2 linked regions of the Kluyveromyces lactis genome follow. The protein of the gene in region 1 purifies or fractionates together with the protein of each later gene. This does not show direct contact. Links are inferred from orthologs where the notes say so. Each region holds a gene or a part of one and is shown on either strand. Other genes may lie near its edges. The genes, in order: MCD1 and SCC2.

Evidence for each region.
Region 2: the proteins of MCD1 (region 1) and SCC2 purify together in Saccharomyces cerevisiae (affinity purification with western blotting; 5 studies listed by BioGRID, with this or other methods). This does not show direct contact. The link is inferred for Kluyveromyces lactis from reciprocal best matches to the Saccharomyces cerevisiae genes MCD1 and SCC2.

The regions. Positions count from the first base shown.
Region 1 is NC_006042.1:1,367,338-1,370,726, forward strand, and holds MCD1 (kleisin alpha), read left to right. Parts: upstream 1-856; coding exon 857-2,659; downstream 2,660-3,389. Other genes in the region: RQC1 (Rqc1p), read right to left, coding at 2,772-3,389. UniProt on the Saccharomyces cerevisiae protein: Cleavable component of the cohesin complex involved in chromosome cohesion during cell cycle. The cohesin complex is required for the cohesion of sister chromatids after DNA replication.
Region 2 is NC_006040.1:1,532,460-1,536,395, reverse strand, and holds the start of SCC2 (cohesin-loading factor complex subunit SCC2), read right to left. Parts: upstream 2,815-3,936; coding exon 1-2,814. Other genes in the region: pseudouridine synthase PUS5, read left to right, coding at 3,169-3,936. UniProt on the Saccharomyces cerevisiae protein: Plays a structural role in chromatin and is involved in sister chromatid cohesion. Forms a complex with SCC4 required for the stable association of the cohesin complex with chromatin, which may act by hydrolyzing ATP from SMC1 and SMC3 heads.

The sequences.
Region 1 (3,389 bases):
TAAAAGAAATCAGAAGAAATAAATACGATAAAACCTAAAAATTCTAAATGATATGGAGGTTGATACAAGTGATGTCTCGATTCCGTTTCAAAAGGGGGTTCTAGTCTTTGTTTTAATGACCAACAAACATAAATCTTTCTTCAATATACTATTCCTTCCTTTCTAACAATATCAAAGAAAACACTGGATCGATTATAATTTGTCTATCCCCGTTAAAAATATTATCAATTAAGAACCGAATTGAAAGACTTAGATTTTATATTTTTTAGCAGAAACGATTTGTGTGTAACTGATGTCTAGTTTTAAGATTCATATTCATATATACCGATTAAACTGACTGCGCATACTGAGAGAGATGATCTGGTTTTGGCATCAACAAGAGTTAGAAAGGCAGGGTAATAAATGGGTATAAGGTCCTCACTTGTTACCCGGATTTTATACCACGAAATCGAAATTTTTCCGGCGGGAAATCTTTTGAGGTCCCAGAAAAAGACATTGTTTTCCCCCAAAAATATTTTCGCGATTTTTCTCCATAACGCGTTTCCGTGATGAGATCTATAACCAGCAATCCTTTAACAAATATCATTGATAAACACTGGATGAGAAGTATGTCTATTCCATCATATTGATTGCACCTTTACCAATAATTTTATCAAATATATATATTACCTATGGAATTTTAATGTCGTGACCTCTGAAAAAAGACACAGTGCTATTTTATTTCATTTTTATTTTGCTAACCATTCCTTATAAGATCAAGTTCTAATCTCGATCTTAAGTTTATATCCATTTGCTATACCATTTGCAACAGGAACCACGAGCCTTATATCACCTAATCCAAAAATAAACAACGTATATGCCACCAAATAGCAATTCACATACTCAGGTGAGATTAAATACAAGCAATGGGCCGTTGGCTCAGATCTGGCTGGCTTCCAATTTGAGTAGCATCAATCGGAACATTGCAAAGACTAATATCGTGGAATCTGTTGAAGAGATTGCCAAAGCTGCAGGTGTTAATCTAGATGATGAATCTGTGGAACCTATCACATTACGTGCTTCCGGTGAGTTACTACATGGTGTTGTAAAAGTTTATTCTCAAAAAGCATCCTATCTGCTTACTGATATCACAGACTTACTGAGTAAAGTGAAATCTATCTTCAAGGGATCGCTGAACAAGAGCGTCACAATTCAGCTAGATACAGTGGCAAAGTTAGATCAGCTTTTATTGCAAGATGCGGTTACAGAACTTGACGTCTTGGAGATGCCCAGTTTGGATTTCTTGAAAGATATCCAAGTGCCAGAAGGTTTTTTGATCGCTGAACGATCAATGGAAAGACAAGTGCAAGGAGCAGCACCTGTAACATCCGCCATTGCAGCACAACAACAAGCATGGGATATGTCCTTAGAAGTTGGAAGGCGATTCCTGGCAGATGAAGATGATGACTTGAATGCTATTGAACATCACGATTCATCTCATTTGAAATTAGATTTTGACCTTGGTGATTCTAATCAAAGCAATAACACTAAATCATGGGGTGAAGGGACTCGTGTTACTGCTAGTGAAGTAAACGCGGATGATGGAGAAAATGAAGGTGATTTGACTATTAGAAATGACAATGACGATGATGATGAATTGCTACCACTTAACGATGATTGGGATTTGGGATTAAACGATGATGATCAGAATATTTCTGGTAATCAGTCTAGCCATGGTAGCGACATGTCTGTAGAGATCGGGAGAAGGGCTGATATTACTCACTCATTGCATGATGATACACTCTTAGACTTTGATCTAGGGCTGCCAAAGGACACAGAACCAGAGCATCAAGAGCAAGCAGAGGCATACATACCACCTAGAGCAGTAAAGAAGAGGGCACCAAGGAATAAAGCCTTTATCAATGTTAAGAAGGTTCTCATAGATGCTGATGCCGAATTAAACGATTCTGAAGTGAAAGGAGGACCATCGGACTCAATTCTTATCGTTTCTGATGAGACTTCGTCCGCTATATCAAAGAAAAAAAGAGCCATCGATGAATTATACTCTGACCTGGACTTCCTTCCTCAAAAGATTATATCTAATTTCTTCAACCATAAAGCTTCAAAGAAGCCTAGAGCTCTGTCACAATCCAGCCAATCTGATGGGTCCGATGTTGATATAGATATCTCTTTGGGTATCGATGGAAGTTTGGTACACAATTCTGATCCATTCGATCACCAACAAATGGGCTTTGATGCAGAATCAGAAGGACCAGTGTTTGCTGATGATGAACCTCCAGTTCTTGCAGCTGATACATCCATGGAAGAAAATGATTACCAAGCCATTCAATCAGACGAATTTGCCTCTCGTGGGTCAATTGAAAAGGAAAAAAGTCAAAAAGTAGAGCTTGCTACCGGTGAAATCGTGTCTAAATCTACAGTGGAAATGGCAACTCTACTGAGAGATGAAATGAGCTCCGGTGAAGCTACTTTTGATAAAATCCTTACTTCGAAGTACCAGGATAACGCGGTAATAACAAAAAGAATGGCCAGTAAAGCATTCTTTGAGTTACTTTCTCTTGCCACCGCAGACTGTATATCATTGAAACAGAAGGAAACATTTGGACAAATCACAATTTTAGGAAAATCAAACTTATATGAGACGTTTGTTACCGCATAGACTTTTAATTTGGATACTTTTATAACGGACATTATGTATAAATAATTAATAATATCTGTTTTTTTAAGTTGGTTTAAATATACATGACGGCAGATCAGTTCAAGTTGTTGTGCTATTCGATTTCTTCATTTGGTTGTTGCTGTTGTTGCTGCTGCTCCAAGTATTCTTGTATTGATAACTGGTTAATGTGTTGTAAAAGCTCCTCATCAGCGAACCTGTTCATTTGGGATATTTCTAGATGTTTACTATCAATTAGTCCTTCGATTGTTTCTACTACATACTCACTTTCTCTATCATGTGGTTGTGGTGGTAGTACATCGAATTCAAACACAGAATGATCTGACCAAATTTCTTCGGGAATAGCAGCCATAACGGATGACTCTTGAGAAAGAATAGCAAACCTTAACAAATTAATTGGAATGTTATTGATGAAGAATGATGTTGGCGCCACGTCGTCATCATCATCGCCATCATTTATATCCTTCACTGCATCAGTGTCAAACGAAGTGGAATTAAAAATGCTTGCTAACTCATCAAGTAAAAACTTCTTAGCTTCCGCTTCCTTCCAAATGGCGCCCATTCTAGTAGTATAAGCTTTTGTCTCGATAGAAGCGCTCACAGTAGGAGGTTTTAATTTAATTTTCAATTTGGATGGATCACCAAGTAACACTTCTTCGTATATCCTGTAAAGAGATGAAGGATATTGATTCCAAACACGTTTTAACAACTG
Region 2 (3,936 bases), on another chromosome or scaffold:
GATCGGACAATTGGCAAAAAAATAAAGTAGGTCATATCTATTTCTTGCATTCGATTCACTCAGTTCGTCTGCAGATGCTGCATTCTCAGTAATCTCTTCAATAAGTACATTAACAAGATTTCTTAAAGCATCAAATATCGACTTCGTATCTTCATTCTTATGAATGGAGGGGTTCAATACGAAAAAATGAAAGAAGAACTCCAACAGTTCCTCAGTCTTGCCACCATAACCGATGAGTGTTGATAATAGCTCGAGGGTTTCTGATAAATCAAATCTATGCAGTTTTACGGACAAGTCAGATGCACTATGTCTCAAAATTAGTCTATGAAGTAATAGTTTCCTGGCATTTTCCACGATAACATCCTCTTCATCCTCAATTCGTCTCAAGACTTTTTCTAAAACGAATGTCTTTATTTTCAGGTCGGAACTTGTATCAAGAATCTTTTCATTCATCCGCATAACATGTTTTCGAACTGCTATACTGTCATCGTCAAAGTTACAGTTTATTTCTCGGTAGAATTGAATGTAGGTTGTGGCCTGCTCTAGAAGATCCAAAATTGCATCTCTAACGGAAGCCGAAGAGTCATAGAGTCTGTTTTTTATGGTTTCCTGAACAAAAGGAGTATCTAACATCTGAGGATCCTTTGATACTAATAGGGTCAAACATTTAACTGCTCCTGATTTAAGTTTTACTTTTTGTTGATCCAATAACGAAAGAATGAGCCTCAAAGCGGGTTCATAAAAGTTAAACAACGGACTAAGTGAAACAATTTTCATGTAAAGGGACCGAACTCTTTCATTACCATCGATACCATTATTTATTTCTTTCTCGCTTATTTCTTTCTCGCTTATTTCTGTCTCCCTTATTTCTTTTGCTATTATACGTATAACAAAATTCATTACCTGTGCGTCTGTTTTGTCTATCTCCTTCTGATCTAACATCTCACTGATATAAAAAAGTGATTCATTCCACAATGCTCTATCGGAAAAATATGTCTTGGTCTGCGAACCCAACCAATCGAAACACTCTTTGTACTCATTTTGCAAATTAAATATCCTTTTTACATCCCTACTTTCCTCGGATGCAGCCCTCAGTTTAACGTCTGTCAAAGTGGCAGTAATTTGGCCGACAAGTTGAATAGCAAGCACTTCGAAGTTTCCTGTTCCTTGATACGTAGGGCTGAATATCTGAAACAATTTCGGCAAAAAAGCTTCTAATAAATGATGAGAATACGCCCATTTCGGGTTTCCTATCATAGTTAGCAAATCTTGGATGTAAATCTCCACAATTGATTTGAATTTGAAAGGATTCGTAATCAATCCTTCGAATAAAGTTGTTGTGACGTTATCGATTAGTCCTTTCAATTCCAAACTTGCGGCATTATTCTCGGACAGTACATTTTCAAGCAATTCAGACGTAAAATCTGACAATAGCTCAGCATCAGGCAAAGCATTTATTGACTGGAACATGGCAACAAGGGCGACAGTAAAATACGATGCGTAGCCATTCTCAAATTCATCGACCAATTTCAGTTTTTTAGTGGATTTTGAGACTACTATATCATGCACGTGTGATAATAATTCTTCCGTAATAAATAGCCGCTGAGATGGATACTCAGAAAAAAGTGATATTAATATTCCAAGAGAAAGGTCTTTTATCCGCTCCGCTTGCGATAAAAGCACATTAGTGTTTAAGTGTTGATAGCATCTGTGTAGTAGCATATCACAGCAAATGCACACTGATTTGATCAAAAACATTTCGTCCAAGTATGATTGAGAGGCGACAAACTTTTCCAATAAATTGATGAATAAGAATATATTTCCAATATCTGCATTAATACCTCTTGAGTTGTCCGAAACATGTAACTTCTCGAGCGCATTATCAAGCGCTGAGAACACAGCATTGTAATATTCTTCTAACTGAAGGTTTGCGGATTTGAGATCTATCATCATAACTTCAAGAATTAAAAATGCGCAACCAAACGTAAGGTTATTCAGATCTAAGGACTCAGATTCATTGTCTGATTGATATGCTAGGATTCTTTTGATATTTCTAGTGCAAAGACCCAGTATTTTTTTAAGAGATTGAACATCAATATACTCAAATACCATCGGAAATCCTAGAACTTTATTTATCGTCAACGATATTGCATCTATAGCCTCCGAAGTAGCAACGTAAACATCACCTAATGGCTTCCAGAATTTAGCGTTTTCATTAACACTCCCTTCAGAATTGAGTCCGACAGAATCTAACAATTTCGAAAGATGATCAAGACAAAGTTTTCCAACTTCCAAGTCATTCATCGGATTAGATTGTACACAAATTTGAATCCGTTTGGAATCCAGCTCATTCAGCAATACCTTGTCTTCCCCTGCTTCTAGCCTTCTTTTTTTAGTAGCTGTGTTCTGATTTCCAGCAACATTCGCAACAATACTAGCAGAATCGACCAGGCTTGTAACAGTCAGGCACCTGATTCCTAGCTGTGGAAGATTTTTCAGAAGCTTCAGATCAGGAGCAGTTTCTTGAGACTCATCTCTTAAAGTAATATTATTGGGTCTCCTGAATAAAATGGGGTCCCTGTCGCCTTCGTTAAATGGGTCGAAATCGATAGGGTGAGGGTATAGCCAATGTTCAGATGGGGGTGAACCGAACGCACTGTTACATGAAATACTGATATCTTCGGTTATTGAAGAACTCAGCAAATTAGATAGCCCTGACTTCGGTACTATGTGGTTAATTGGCTGGTACTTCAGTGTTTCAGAGATGCGTTTGGGAATCTCATTGTCAGTTTCGCCTGGAAACCCTTTCGCCATAGCCGCCACTGCTCAGTAATCAGAATATTACTGGAAAGGCAGTATTATTTGAAGAAGATGATAATGCCCAGAGAAAAGCAGATGAAATAGAGCTTCCGGGTGTAAACTATCTGCTGTTGCTTCTTTCAACTTGATGAAATCGTTTGACCGTTCATTGCTGTAGAGATCTAGTATTCGTCTCATTAATTATTTATATATCTATTCGGCTTTCTTGATTTGAAAAAGGCTGCTGCAGTTTTGAGAAAAATATCATGAGAATGATGAGGGAAGCATAAGTAGTCATGAATGTAGCTGAGAGGAGAAAACCGTTAGTTCCTGTACATCTGCATTGCTTAAATCATAGTACTAATTGATATGCTACGTAGAGGCTTCATAAAACAACCCCCTTTCGTGAAGATCTTTAAAATCGTCTCCCCGGAGTCGACAAACGCTAAGGCTACACATTGTGAAGTGGAATTCCCTTTAAAAGTACAAGAGCTCTGGCGTGACAAGCACCACGTAATTTTTAATAAGCCACCCTTGGCCCTTTCTCAATTACCTGACAAACGAACGTGGTACAATACTCACGACTATGATCCCCCAGTGTTATTGGATATTGTTCAAAGCTCTAGTGGAAGCATCCTGAAGGACGGTACATATGAACCATCGTACTACCCCATCCACAGGATTGACACACCAGTATCCGGTGGAATAGTATATGCTGTAAACAAACAGTCAGCACAACAATTTAGTCGAAATCTAAGGTATGGCGGGAATAAAGGATTCTCACTAACTAGAAAGTATGTCGCAAAAGTTGGAAAATCTAAGACTGCGAATGAGTGTAAAGAAGGTCTCATAAAGTGGAATGGTGCAATCACATATTTTCAGCGTGTCGACAATGAACACCTAATTTTACAGTTGGTAACTGGGAAGAAGCATCAGATACGGAAACTTACACAGCAAGTTCTTGATTCGCCAATTTATAATGACTTGAAATACGGTGGTAAGAAGGTTTTTGACAGTGACTTTCAAATCGCATTACATTCAGCTTATATACGGACAAAAATTGGTTTTAATATACATGAGCAAATCATTCCCGTTCCAGACGGTTTTAGAATGATATGGGGAGAATCTGTAGACCAA